Linked DNA regions of Lepisosteus oculatus. The protein of the gene in region 2 interacts with the protein of the main gene of each other region in a pairwise test. Links are inferred from orthologs where the notes say so. Each region holds a gene or a part of one and is shown on either strand. Other genes may lie near its edges. The genes, in order: pax10 and ipo13b.

Region 1 (7,720 bases), on a different chromosome or scaffold from region 2:
CTCATCTTTAGAGCAGCTCTGCAATCTTGCCCTGCGTCTTCGTGGCCCTGTGACCCTGTGACCCTATCAGCCGGCAGGCGGGAGAGAGCACCGCCGTCCCAGGCGCCCCGCGGTGTCGGGGTCGGGGTCAGAGTCGGGGTCAGAGCTGAGGTCAGGAGAAATAAGACACTTACAGGGAAGCGTATCTGTGAGAAGTGTGCAAGAGCTAGAAATACTAACATGTTCTGCAGGATCTGTACGATGATGCAGTGCTCAAAGCACAAGTGCTCCGGCCATGTGGGTCTCAGTTCGATCCCCTGCACTACTACTGACTACTGACTCAGTCTGCATCACTCTGCAAGAGTTAGTGAACCTCCTCCTGCTCTGTTCTCCAGACAAGACTGTAGCTGTAGTCACTGATGTTATATCTCACTCCTTAAAAGCCTCTGATGTCATAGTTCACTTCCCCAGCCTATGACGTCCTATTTCACCCATTCCTAACCTCTGATGCCATAGTTCATCCCTCCCAGTCTATGATGTCATAGTTCACCTCCCAGCCTATGATGTCATATCTCACTCCTTCAGACTCTGATGTCACAGTGCACTGCTCTGGTCCCTGTGTTTTCTATCAGAAAGCCACTCTTACCATTAGTGTGCTGTGTTGGCACAGTGCTGTCCTGGTGGTACCAGCTGGTGGGTCCACTCCAGTTAGACCCGCTCTGCAGATTGATCATGGCCAGCTTCTCATACATGCCCTCTATACCCATCGACCTCTGACCTGTCACCTCTCACCTACACCCTGACCTTCCACACTGGTCCAATGGCAGGAACTGCAAATGACAAGAGAGGAAGTGGCTGAGGAATATTGAACTCCACTATACCTGGAACAGGGATGTACAAGCCATTTCATTCAAATTTCACAGCACTCCTGACTGTACTGCAAAACAAAAGTTTCCGGATATCCCACTCGTGATGTCCAGGGCTAACTCCAGCAGTCCCAGCTGTCAGCCAGGATCCCGATCCCTGTCCTCCTCGGCCCCCTGCCTGCTGTCCCTGGAGGAAGAGGCCTGGAGTCCTAACCCTACCACCAGCTGCGGCCTGGACACAGCCCTGCCTGCACGGGCACGCTGGTGCCCTGGCCCACCGCTGTGGGGAAGGGGTCTGTGCTGCAGGGAGCTGGACACAGCCCTGCCTGCACTGGCACGCTGGTGCCCTGGCCCACCGCTGTGGGGAAGGGGTCTGTGCTGCAGGGAGCTGGACACAGCCCTGCCTGCACTGGCACGCTGGTGCCCTGGCACACCGCTGTGGGGAAGGGGTCTGTGCTGCAGGGAGCTGGACACAGCCCTGCCTGCACGGGCACGCTGGTGCCCTGGCCCACCGCTGTGGGGAAGGGTCTGTGCTGCAATCACACACAACAGCAGTTTACAGCGAGCGTTCGGGAGGCTTGACGGCAGCCGCGTTCAATCAGCCTCAGCTGTCCTGATTCGGAATCATTCGCGACGTCATTTCCTCGCGTTAAAAAAATAAATCCGATACGTCAGGCCTCTCCTCTCCCTCACACACGTCTCCTGCCCCCCTCCTCCTGCCCTCTGCTCCTCTGCAGCTGCCCCTGGGTCTCTCCTCCCTCCACAGGGGGTCCCAGCCTGCACTGCTCTGGCCAAATTAATTTACTGTGACTTAAACACCCAATTAACATTCCCAGTTAACATTTCCAGTCAACCTCAATCTGTACAGCAGATTTACCCACAGAGTTGAGTGAGAAAGCAGAAGAGCTGAGGAATACATGTACGACAATACAATGTACGACAAAAAATCAAACATAGATAAGCAGGTTAAAAAGACTGGCAAGATGATAAAAGACGGTATTCTTCAGTCTAGGTACAGAACCCGTTCCTGAAAGTGCATCTGTGACAAAGGAGGGAACACAATTCATCTCTCTCGCCAGCTCCCGTCATTTAAAGGTCTTCTCTAGGACCAGTGAAAACTGATTTAGTGCTCATACAGCCTTAGTGAAATAGTTAGGCGCCAGTCCATTTACTGACTTTTAATTTTAGCATTCAAATTTCAAAAAGCTATTTTGTAGGCAACTGGAAGCCAGTGTAGTGAGACCAGCGCAGAGGTTGGAGATGCAGTTTCTCTGTCCTAGTTAAAACCCCAGCAGCCGCAGTCCGGTACTCTGATCCAGAGGAAACATTCCCCTCAGCCAGGGAAAGAAAGGAGCTCATTTTCACTAGATCTGAGCATAAAATCAGGACAGTAAACCTCACATTTCTTTTCCTGGAGAAATGTAGTAAGACCTCTCTCTTATCGGAGCTCCATGGCGGAAATCTCTGGAATCCCATTTCCGACATCAGCGAGAGACTAAAGACACCGGACACTGGGGCTCTCAGGACCAGCTGGGATAAATCCCACTTCCACCAGCTTCCGAATAATCTTTGCACTTTGAGAAAGAAAGGACTGCAGCAGAGCTTCTGAGCTCGTGTGGCCTTCAGCAGTGACCCGGAATATCGGGAATGACGGTCTTCTGGAAATCAGAAGGCTCTCACCCAGCGGATCACACTGCTGGGATCCAGTCTGGCCTTACCGCTGTCCTAATGCCACACAGAACTGTAAGACAGTGTAGGAACGGCGGTGCGATGTGACTATCGGCAACAGCCCATCCCGGCAGCGGGGGATCAGGCGGCCGCAGACTCCTGCGATTTCCCTTCGCGGCGGCTTCAGAAATCCTTTATCGAGAGACAGGAATATTGCGCACGCCCAGCCTCCAGACCCTGCGCCTCAAACCAGCACCCACCCCCCTGGCTGCACTGAGCAGGACGCCCCACAGCGACGGTGGGGTAAACGAGGGGTAACGGGGCTCGGTCGGGGGGGGGGCGAAGGGGTCACCCCCCTAGCCCGAGCCCAGTGTTCCCCTCTCCCGGAGCTCCTGCCCTGCCCGGTCGGCAGCAGGGACGGCTCTGTCCCGCCTGCAGCCTGCGGACCACCGCGAGCTGGGGGTCCCTCTTCCCGCGCCAGACTTACCTGCAGCTGGGTGCCGAGTCCTCGTCGCAGGCAGCCTGGTCCGCGCTCTGCCGAGGAGACACTGGCGGGGCTGGGGGACGCAGGCGGAGGAGAGAGAGGCGGGAGGCGGGAGGCGGGAGGCGGGAGGCGGGAGGCGGGAGGCGTCTGCGGGCGCTCGTCGCTCCGAGCGATGGAAAAGGGAGCGCGGGGGGGGCGCGGGAGTGCAGTGACACATACGCTCAGTGTTAGTGTCATCTTTGAACTTAATGCTCCAGAATGGGCCGATCAGGAGGGAGAGGGAAGGAGGTCAGGCAGCCGGAATTACTTATGGAAGAGAAACAAAGGGGTGCGTTTCCGCAGAAAACGCCAGGCAGCTTCGAGACTCTGCTTCACAGCCCGCTTCCTCGCACCTGGAACCAGGCTGGCCTCTCACTCCTCTTGCTCCAGCTGTGTGTTGCCTTAGGGAAGCCAGCGGTTACAGAGTGAGGCCCTACAGCTGCTCCAGCGACACGAGGGCCCGGGCAAGGTGGTCTCCAGCACGTCCCCCGCTGGGCCTGTGAGGGGCACACGCCTCAGACACAGGTGAGAGGATCTACTGTGGATCTGGAAGGATCTACTGTGGATCTGCTACTGTAGACCCTTCCAGGACAGGCTGGCAAGAGCAGCTGTTGGAGTGAATCATGGGTATAAACATTCGTTATGTCTCACAGATGTACAGCAGATGTACAGCAGACAAAGATATAGCTGGAGACACAGACACTGACTTCAGAAAACACAACTGTCCTTCCCAGAAGTACAAGAGTTTCTCAGCAATGTGTGCATCTGGGGCTCCCTGGGGTGCAAAGCTCCTATTTCTCCCTTTTGCACAAAACCCTGGACACAAGGGGCAGAAAGGAGGGGCAGCTCTCTGCACTCCAGCTGGGTGACCACATCGCCTGGGATGCTGTATTTCCTGTACACGCTCTGACTCTTAACTTCATCCACAGAGATATTTCCTAAAGGGGCTCCCTGACACCCCCAAGTGTGGTCTGTGCCCTCCAGGCTTTTATATCTGGTGAATTAGGGTGTTTGGATTTTGGGGGTCAGTCTCTTTTCTCTGTGTCCGGTGTCCTCCATCGTCTCTCCTGCTGAGTGAGGGTATCTGTGTTGCAGACGCAGACTGCACTAACTGGCATTCCTGTTGATACAGGGATGCACTCGACTCAGACGGCCTCTGCACATCCTTCCCCAGAAGAAATGGGGAGAGGGCGGGGGGGTGGGGGAGAGGAGGAGAGTGTCAGTGCAGTTCACTTCCAGTTGAGAGGGTGATGCAGCCTGTCTCTGGTGGGTCTGTCACCTCCTTCACAGGAGCGAGAGGCTGGGACACAGAGACAGAAGGAGAGAGCGGAGCAGATGAAGGAGGAAGATGAAAGAGGTTTCACATGCAGTATGGAAGTATCTATTTCTGCTTTCTACGTGAATGGAGAACTAGAGATACAGAGTAAGACATTGGAAGACAAGGGGGACAAAGGCTAGAAAGAAGAGGGACAGTTCACAAATACACTGAGACACTCCCCAATGCTGAGACACACTTACACTGAGACACTCCCCAGTGCTGAGAGACACTGAGAGACACTGAGACACTCCACAGTGCTGAGAGACACTGAGAGACACTGAGACACTCCACAGTGCTGAGAGACACTGAGACACTCCCCAGTGCTGAGAGACACTGAGACACTCCACAGTGCTGAGAGACACTGAGACACTCCACAGTGCTGAGAGACACTGACACTGAGACACTCCCCAGTGCTGAGAGAGACTGACACTGAGACACTCCCCAGTGCTGAGAGACACTGAGACACTCCACAGTGCTGAGAGACACTGAGACACTCCACAGTGCTGAGAGACACTGACACTGAGACACTCCACAGTGCTGAGACACACTGAGACACTCCCCAGTGCTGAGAGACACTGACACTGAGACATTCCCCAGTGCTGAGAGACACTGAGACACTCCCCAGTGCTGAGAGACACTGACACTGAGACACTCCACAGTGCTGAGAGACACTGAGACACTCCACAGTGCTGAGACACACTGAGACACTCCCCAGTGCTGAGAGACACTGAGACACTCCCCAGTGCTGAGAGACACTGACACTGAGACACTCCCCAGTGCTGAGAGACACTGACACTGAGACACTCCACAGTGCTGAGAGACACTGAGACACTCCCCAGTGCTGAGAGACACTGACACTGAGACACTCCACAGTGCTGAGACACACTGAGACACTCCCCAGTGCTGAGAGACACTGAGACATTCACGTGTCATTGTGTATCTCAGTGTGAGTATCTCACTGTGTGAATGTCAGCGTGTGTCTCCCAGTTTGTGTGTTAGTGTGACTCTCAGTGTGTGTGTGTGTCTCCCAGTGTGTACCTCCCAGTGTGTGTATTGTGTGTGGATCTCACTGTCCGTTTCTCAGTGCGTGTGTCAGTACGGTCAGTGTTTGTATTTCAGTGTGTGTACCTCACTGTATCCCAGTGTGTCTCTCAGTGTGTGTGTGTCAGCATGTGAGTCTGTTTGTGTCAGTGTGTGATTCAGTGTGTTTCAGTGTGTATGTGTATTAGTGTGTGTCAGTTTGTGTGTCTATGTGTATCAGTGTGTGTGTGTTTCAGTGTCTATGTGTATCAGTGTGTGTGTCAGTTTATGTATTCGTGTGTGTGTCTATGTGAATCAGTGTGAGTGTGTGTATCTATTTGTGAGAGTGTGTTTCAGTGTCTATGTGTGTGTGTGTGTCAGTGTGTGTGCCAGTTTATGTATTGGTGTGTGTGTCAGTTTATGTATTAGTGTGTGTGTCAGTGTGTGTGTAAGTTTATGTATCAGTGTGTGTGTAAGTTTATGTATCAGAGTGTGTGTCAGTGTGTGTGTCAGTGTGTGTATTAGTGTGTGTGTGTCAGTGTGTGTATTAGTGCGTGTATCAGTGTGTGTCAGTGTGTGTATTAGTGTGTGTATTAGTGTGTGTGTCAGTGTGTGTGTCAGTGTGTGTATCAGTGCGTGTATCAGTGTGTGTCAGTGTGTGTCAGTGTGTGTGTCAGTGTGTGTGTCAGTGTGTGTCAGTGTGTGTGTCAGTGTGTGTGTAAGTTTATGTATCAGAGTGTGTGTCAGTGTGTGTATCAGTGCGTGTATCAGTGTGTGTGTCAGTGCGTGTATCAGTGCGTGTGTCAGTGTGTGTGTCAGTGTGTGTATCAGTGTGTGTCAGTGTGTATCAGTGCGTGTATCAGTGTGTGTGTCAGTGCGTGTATCAGTGCGTGTGTCAGTGCGTGTGTCAGTGTGTGTGTCAGTGTGTGTGTCAGTGTGTGTGTCAGTGTGTGTCAGTGTGTGTGTCAGTGTGTGTGTCAGTGTGTGTTTACAGAGAAGAGATCTCCTCCCTCAGGGTCTGTTCTTTCCCTCCTCTCAGGTCAGCCTGTCATGTTGTTTCTCTCCCTCTCTCTCTCCTCTTGCTATCTCTCTCTCTCTCCTCTTCTCTCCCTCTCCTCTCTTCCCTCTCTCGTCTCTCCTCTCTCTCCTGCTGCTGAGGGGGCCGAGGTGACACTGGGTGGGGGGGGGTGATTTCTGAGGAGAGAAGAATTTGGAGTGGGGGGGGGTGCTGGAGAAGAGGTCTCCATGGCAACACTGCCGGGACAAATCTCTGTCACCCTAATCAAGTCAGAGGGAAAAATAAAAGCCGAAACTTTAGAGGCTTCTTCACTCGTACTCCGAAAGAGCCGTTCACTCTAGTACAGCTCTCTACCTGCGCAGGCTGGAAATATCTCAGTGAAGACCCAGGACTTCAGGTCCGGCGGCTCTCTTTGTACCATCTCACCCCACTGGACACCCCGGGGCAGGAGCTCGGCTCAGGCGGGCTCACCCCACTGGAGCAGGAGGCACACCCGAGCTCCACCAGCGTCAGCCATCTCCTCTCCTCGTCTGGGAGGCGCGGAGAGCGAGGCCCTTTCTGTCCCCTCGTACAGGTGGCACGGCTCTCCTGCTCAGCGCTGTGGCCAGCATCCTGGCTGCTCCTCCCCGATACTCTTCCAGTGCCGAGTGAGAAAAACAGGAACAGGCTTCTAAGTAGCACGGCCCCCCTCCCCCCTGCCCCCTGCCCCCCTGCTCTCTCTCTCCCCCCCTCGCGGTGCCGCGCGTAGCCCCGGGCGATGTGGTGACGCGGCCGCGCTCTCTCTCCGCGGCGCTCGGGCTGCTGTCGGCTCGCATCGGTCAGCGCAGTCCCAGACGCGGCCGGCGGCGCGGAGAGGGAGCGGGGGGGTGGAGGGGGGCTGGGGAGGGAGAGACGAGAGTCTGTCGGGAGCTCTGTGTGTCTGTCCGCGGGATGCCTGCTGGGACACACCTGCAGGAGGTGAGCTCGGGCCGGAGCGAGGAGGAACCTGTTGGCTGCAGGCGGTGTGCTCATGGACTGCGCACAGGGAGAGACAGGACGTTTCTCATCTCAACACAGGATCCTGGTGCTCTCTGAGACACAGCTTCTATCCGCACTGTCACACTGACACAGTGTCACAGACCGGCCCTCTGACAAAGAATAAGGCACCAGCGCGAGACAGCAGCTTCCAGTGATTCATATGAGAGGATACAAAGTGCAGCACAGCCCACAGTCCCTATACTGTTAGAATATACACAGTACAGCCCACAGTCCCTATACTGTTAGAATATACACAGTACAGCCCACAGTCCCTATACTGTTAGAATATACACAGTGCAGCACAGCCCACA
Region 2 (7,390 bases):
GCTATAAATAACTGCGGGAGAGAGCTAGGGAGCGTGTGTGAGAGATACAGAGGGAGGGGGCAGTGGTAAGAGATGTTTCCTCTCTCACCCTCTTCCCTGAGCTGCTGAGCCCCAAAGCAACGGATTTACAGCAGCGAGAAGTGCCACGTGTGTCGGCCGGCGCCTAGTGGAGTGTGCCGGTCACTGTAGACCGCAACACACAGCGACCGGTTTGAGGACGCTCTGAATGTGCCGAGAAGTTCTTCGTATAACTCCCAGCCCTTCTTTTTGCCTCGATTCCGGGATTTCACAGAAGGATCGGTGCAGCAGAGTGGTAAACGGAGTCCCGGGTCCCGCTCTGGGTCGCGCAAGCGGCTTGTTGTCCGGCTCCCTGCTGCCTGGCTGCTCGGTCCTACAGTAGTTCAGTCTGGCTGCGAGCGCTGAAATGAGACTTGGTTTTGCTCGCCCTCTTCTCGAGCAGCAGGCTGGCAGACACGCCTCGAGTGGCAGGCGATTGGCTCCTTAGAGTTTTTAAGGACGTTTACAACACTGCTTTTATCACCCCCCTCCACACACACACATACACAGCCTCCGCCTGCACAAGCCGCTCCCCTGCTAAACGCACGACGCGAAAGATCTCACAGAGGAGCGACCTCACTGTTCTGCTGTAGGTGCACCCTCTGGACGTGGATCCAGTCTGTTGCAGGGCTGTGGGGGTTAGTGATGGCGAGGTAGGCGAATTTCAGGCGTGGGCAGGGCTGACTGGTCATATCGGTCTAGCCTCCACGACTGGCCGTGTCATTCGGGGATCGTTTTGATTTGTAGTTTCTGGTTCAATCGCCTCGTTGCATTAAACACAACCAGGGGACTCCACAGCCTCAGTGACGTGCTGACTCCAATCTAGGTATCGCTGCAATACAGATACAATGTCTTTCATTCTTCTTTGGGGTACTTTTGGCCAGAGCTTTAACGACGTGTTTGCGAGCATTAAAAGAACTGAGAGTACAAGGTTTCCTGCGTAGCAAATGTGTACATCACAGGCCGTCTGCCCATTTCAGCGCGCTGGTAAACACGCGTGGTTACCAGTCCTCCGCTCTGAGAAGTGTTCTGGGGGCGGCCGGTCCGTGGGGGTTACCTTCAGCCCCGTACTGTGCGCATCACTCTGGGTGACAGGCGCTCTGCCTTGAAAGTTTGTTCTCGAGGTTACTTTCTTTAAAATGGTCTCTAAAACTAAAGGAGCACTTTAACTAAAGGGGCAGTTTTGATTTTGTTTCCATAGGCGGCATTAGTAAAAAAGAAAAAAGCATGTGCAGCAGAATGGGAAAACAAACCCCCAGACACCCTGAAAAAAACGGTTTTTGGGACAGATGACACTTATCCGCTAAGGAGAGACAACAGCGGAAGCAGAGACGGACCAATACGCTGCCCCGCAGCGCGACAGATCCACACCCAGCACAAAGAGCGTTTTCCCGCAGAGACGCACCTGTCACTGTTATTGACCAGAAACCCACAGAGCTACAGGCCAGCGGCTGAACGCGTTCTAGAATCACAGTCCCGCCCCTGTAGGGCAGACACGTAAATGACTAGGCTTTAAGAACATGTATATTTTAATATCTTCACAGCCGGATATATTTAATTGTATGCAGTGTTAACGAGCTGTTTTGACACCGGCATTTCTTTACATTACCTACCCCACCGTGCCTTGAGCCTGCCTTGTCTGGTACTGGAGAAAACGAAACAACACATTTAAAATCACGACTTATCAGTAATAATGTGAGACGGTTTATTTATTTATGATGATGATGATGATAATGATGATGAAAAACAGAAGGTAACATGTATTGAAAGTATTTTCTAAACTGTGAGGAACCTGTATTTTGACATCAGAAGTATGTGTTTTCTCTCACCAGTTGCTGAATCACATCAGCTGTAAATGACGTCAGTCACCCCAAAATCAGCTGCTCCTGTTTCCATGACACGCGGTTTCCAGAGCAACCCTCGACTGCACTTGTACCCTGGCACCGCTAGAGGTCGCTGCATTCACTCTTCTTAGGAATAGCTGCTGCAGCGTGCGGACTACGGCTGGTATTGCAGATCAACCGCTCAGACAATTACGGCAGCGATGGGTGTCAAACATACGCCAATATATCGAGCAGTGCATTTTACTGTACAGTCTTTTTCTTTTTATAAAGTATTCCTAGTGTAGTAGTAATCATCATCATCATTCTGTCAGTTAATGTTTTTGTTTTTCTTATTAATTTAACCAACGTTAAGAATATACGTTAAGAACATGTGAACAGAAGAGAAATGACAACCCTAAATCTATCTTTTCGGGCAGCTTGTTCCAGACCCCTGATGCTCTTGTGTAAGGAAATGTAAGGAAATCACGGGTGTGTCCTGGGTTGACCTTTTCAACTCCTGCTTTGGTCTGTATTCTGGCCTGCTGCACACTGGCCACAATACTCTTCTATGGAGCCGCCTGCTCTGGAGTTCTGTCTTCAGAGCTTAAAACTGCTGCTGTCACACTAGTGAAAAAAAAAAAACGAACCAACCAAACGGTATGTGAAGTAATTACAGGCTTACTTCAAACCATTTGTCATCGAAAAGAACGAATTCTCGGGTGGTTTTTGTTTCACCCAAGACCTCAGCTGCGTGGTTAGGCTGATTATTAAATTCGCTGCCTAATTGTAATACTTCTAACACCGATTTGAGGTAACAGTACCTCTAAGAAAACTGGACATATTTTAATTCAGAAAATAATTGTTTTTTTTTAATAAGTGTTTAATAATTGACTACTCATGTTGAAACGAAAACCAGAAGACACAAGGCTCTCCAAGTAACTGAGTTTGCGACCTCTGGTCTGAAACAGTACGGCACTCCGTCCAGCGCGACTGTATCGGCTGTGGTTTGCCAGTAGGGGACATTGTTACACTAGAATATCCCATTTTGTTAAACTCCACCCCTCCCACCCGCAAGGAGAGAAAAATACATTTTCCACAATGCACCGCGGGGGACCTATCTTTATATAAATGACCGTAGCGTGCCTGATCAAAAAGAGAAATTAAATAGCGGGAAGACCGCAAGGGAAAAGGAAAACGCAGCGGGGCTCATTCTCCACCCCCCCCATTTGAATTATTTTAATGTACACTATGGCATTATTGCTGACATTTTGCTTGTTTCCTGTCATACAGCGCGTGATTTCGCATGTTGAATCCCCCCTCTCCCTCCTGTCTGATGGAGTCCGAGGCAGCAGCGTCATTCCGGATGAGGACCCAGCGAGGCTGGCTGAGTGTGCTCTTGCTGCAGTGAAGCAGCGGCGTGTCTGACAGTGACGAGACGGAATTTGTACAAATATCCATATATCAGTGCTCGCACGTATGTAGTGTAAGCTGCATATCCAGCTGTAGTTCTGTACCTTAAGTTATGGCATGACGGACCGCCTTAGTCACGGAGTAGCTAGCGTTATCGTGTTTCCCACCAGTAGCATCTTCGTATACTGATGGTTGATGCATTTTTTTAAAAAATAAGGCTGGCTTTTCGATGCCGATGTGAGAGGAACGCTGAGTGGCATCATGGACATCGGAGCGGAGTAGCTCAGGCGCTCAGCTGCTGTCTCTGAGGAGCTCCGGCGACCGGGAGCAGGCAGGGGCTGTTTTTTTAACGCCTCCCGAATCGCAGGGGGGACGAAAATTCAGGGAGAGAGGGCGGGTGTACCGTTTCTGAAAGGGTTGCAGGGAGGCGAGGAGTCGTTGATTTTGTTTTATCTGTTCGGAAAACACGCTTAGTCCAGAGGTCTGGGGCGTAGGGTAGCTTGAAGGAGAGATCGGACTAGTGCCCCGCCGGTCATTCCCGCTTCACCAGAGGCGGCGATCACAGGGGCAGTAGTTGTATTTCTCCGGACGTTCCCCAAACCACCTGTCCTGTCCGACAGTCGGCTTTCTACCCCTGCCCGTTTCTCACTCGCATTGAGCAGGCATGGAGCCGGGCCGACCCGCTCACTCTCCCGATTCCCTGGAGTTCACGGTGGAGAACGTGGAAAAGGTGAGTCAAATTAAATTCCCCATCCCCACTCGTACCCGTGGTTGTCACGGTAATGCAGTTTTGCGGTAATCGTGGGAAAGGTGGTTTACGCTAGTAGTGGTATTTTAAGGGGCTCAGGCGCTCAGCTGCTGTCTCTGAGGAGCTCCGGCGACCGGGAGCAGGCAGGGGCTGTTTTTTTAACGCCTCCCGAATCGCAGGGGGGACGAAAATTCAGGGAGAGAGGGCGGGTGTACCGTTTCTGAAAGGGTTGCAGGGAGGCGAGGAGTCGTTGATTTTGTTTTATCTGTTCGGAAAACACGCTTAGTCCAGAGGTCTGGGGCGTAGGGTAGCTTGAAGGAGAGATCGGACTAGTGCCCCGCCGGTCATTCCCGCTTCACCAGAGGCGGCGATCACAGGGGCAGTAGTTGTATTTCTCCGGACGTTCCCCAAACCACCTGTCCTGTCCGACAGTCGGCTTTCTACCCCTGCCCGTTTCTCACTCGCATTGAGCAGGCATGGAGCCGGGCCGACCCGCTCACTCTCCCGATTCCCTGGAGTTCACGGTGGAGAACGTGGAAAAGGTGAGTCAAATTAAATTCCCCATCCCCACTCGTACCCGTGGTTGTCACGGTAATGCAGTTTTGCGGTAATCGTGGGAAAGGTGGTTTACGCTAGTAGTGGTATTTTAAGGGGGCAACACGCACGTAAGGTCTGGCTTTATCATCACTAGTGCCGCTGATATCGGGTATCAAGATGTCTGTTGCTATTTTTATGAGGTGAATGTTACTATTGGCAGGGCTGTTGTTTAGGCTGTGGGTGTTTGTGACAGTGTCAGCTCCCACCTCCCCCCCCCCCGGGGGCGTGGGGGTATTGGCTGCGCCGTGTCCGTGCGGAGACGGTGACACTGGAGCACAAACGCTGCGAGGCGGGGGGTGTCACATACCGCACGCACCTGGCAGCCGGCTCCTCTGCAGCTCTTCCACACCCGACACCTCAGCAGTGCGATCGGGCTGATCGATACTCCTGACAGCTGCAATGGACTTTGACGTCCCCGGGCACCAATGGGCTGTGGTGTGTGTTTCTAAGGTCCGGTCTGACCCGCTGTGCAGTGTGAGCGGTGTCTTGGTTGTGTTGTCAGGGAGCTCACAACGAAAGCTTGGGAGCGATGACAACAGCCACGTTAAGTCAGCCTCAGCCGCTCTAAAGCCTGATGATTCTTGACGTCGTTTCCTTTAAAAGGGGTAAATACTACACCTCTCTTCCAACCACTCCGTCAGCCCATCTCCAGCTGTTTAGCTGCCCCTTGTCCACCCCTCAATCTGCAGAGGGACCCCAGCCTCCCTGTGCTGTGGCCAGCGGGCAGGCCCACTGCCGAGAGAATTAAGATGAAAATTTACTGCGACTGAAACGCTCTGTACCCATTCTCAACACGCTTAAGCTCGGTTTGGGCTGAGTTTTAGTGATGGTCAGGTCAAACCTGCTGGGCTTCTGTCTGACAGCTCCACCTGGACAGTGTGGACGGAGAGTGAGGGCAGGGCGCTGTCAGGGCCCGCTGGACTCTTCTCTGCAGTCCGCATCATTCTGGTGTGTCTGGGCAAGCAAAGACCTGTAGCTCACAGGCTCCCAGTCAACAGCAGCTTGTGTCTAGAAGGGCAGATTTTAAAGAATGCTGGGCAGCTCTGTTGCTAAGTTACCTGCAGACTGCCCTGAGGTTTAGTTGGGTCCAGTTGGTCTTTCCCCCGTGTGTCAAATTTGTAGTGATGGCGAGGTGAGTAAGCAGCTGGAGTGGACAGATTTATTTGTATGACCGACCTGCCTGTAATCTTCAGTTTTGCCAATCTCTTTGCGGTACGGGGCCCTCCCAGTGCAGAGACAGTGGGAGTAAAAAAAAAAATCTCAAGTTTAAACCAGGGATGGCCACATTTGGCCCGTCAGAGATCGCACTCCAGCCGCTACAAAATGGCGGCTCAGTTTTCTGTCTCTGCCTCGTCAGCGGCTTGGACTGGAGGGGAGTCTATTCCTTGAGGACCGCAGGGCCTGCCTTTCCTGCTCCTCTCTGCCCAGGAGGTGTTTAACGAGCTGAATCCGTTATTGATTCACAGGTTCAAGCTTCCCCAGTATTTCCCGTACGGGAGCTCCAGCGATGACTTCCAGGTTTTGTGGTCAGCTGCGGACATTTTATCTAATAACGCTATAGTTCCTTTGGGATCTTTTTTTTTTTTTCCTCTGGATTCCATCAGGCAGTTGCGGTTTTCAGCTGTAGCGCTGATGTGATCAGTCAAAAGCCAGAACGCTGGAATTTGAGGGTGGCGTTCTGCATGATGGAGGCATCAAGTGTACCCACCTGACTTGTTAGCTGTTGTCAAGGGTGTGGGCTGTTGGGGCGGGTTGGCTGGACAAAGCTCTCATCCAGCGCTAGGCCTGCTGGCTCTTGTCCTCTCTGCTTTTGCTTACTAATGACTGGCCAATGATGGTTCTGGGCAGTGGTGTCAACATTCATACCAGAACCCAATTTTTTCCCCATCCAAGCTCATAGCCTACCTTCAGAGATCCATTAAGCCGTTTTTATGTCTACTGGAGGGAGTTCGGGATGAGTGATTTTTAGAATGGGATTTTTCCGTTATTAGTTGTGAGGTGATAAAGCAATAATGGGGGTTTGAAATGAACACTGTTCTGCACGTGCCGAAGCCAGAGAACGTGGGCAGGGTGAAGACTGCTGAAGAATCCTTTGTCTTTTCTCCTGCTGGGGGAGTCTGCTTCTTTTTTGTTTTTGTTTGCACAAGGCGCAGATAAGTGAGTCCGAAGCCGCTGGTTCTTCAGTTTTGTGATCGTCTAAGCCGGGGGTCATCAGTCCTGGTAAAGCACCGGCACCCGTTAAGAGCGGAGAGCAGGTGGGAAAGTGACCCAGTCTAGCCCGTGATGAGCCGATTCAGGTTGTTCAGGCCTCAGCTGTGCTACACACCTGTAGACAGGACGGCCCCGCGGGATTAGAAAGGGAAACCGCTGGTGTAAATCCCTGTGACTGGCCTGATTCTGGGTGGCCTTCTCTCCTGCGCTCAGCTCGGCTCTGGGAGCTGCAGGGCGCTCTGGGATTGCCTTCCTGCTGTAGTCATGGCCCTGCGCTGGGTGTGTGCGTGGGCTGGCGGGGGGATGGAGCGAATGATGAAATGGGCGCTGGGGCATTGCACTGCAGGGATGTTGTTGACGTGCTGGCTTGTGTTAGATGGGAGCTCTGAGGTTGAGGGTGCAGACCAGGGTTCGAGCAGACAGCAGGGCGGGACTCACCCAAAAGGCACAGCTTCCTTGCTGGGTTTGAATCCTACCTGAATGTGACCGGTGCAACATCCGGTACCAGCGAAAGAATCCGGACTCCCAGCACAGAACATTTTGA

The links.
Region 1: the proteins of ipo13b (region 2) and pax10 interact in a two-hybrid assay, tested with the Homo sapiens proteins (2 studies listed by BioGRID and IntAct). The link is inferred for Lepisosteus oculatus from reciprocal best matches to the Homo sapiens genes IPO13 and PAX6.

Annotation. Positions count from the first base shown.
Region 1 is NC_090702.1:244,498-252,217, reverse strand, and holds the start of pax10 (paired box 10), read right to left. Parts: upstream 3,082-7,720; 5' UTR 3,001-3,081; intron 810-3,000; 5' UTR 747-809; coding exon 626-746; intron 1-625. UniProt on the Homo sapiens protein: Transcription factor with important functions in the development of the eye, nose, central nervous system and pancreas. Required for the differentiation of pancreatic islet alpha cells.
Region 2 is NC_090704.1:31,940,638-31,948,027, forward strand, and holds the start of ipo13b (importin-13), read left to right. Parts: upstream 1-4,137; 5' UTR 4,138-4,514; coding exon 4,515-4,580; intron 4,581-7,390. UniProt on the Homo sapiens protein: Functions in nuclear protein import as nuclear transport receptor. Serves as receptor for nuclear localization signals (NLS) in cargo substrates.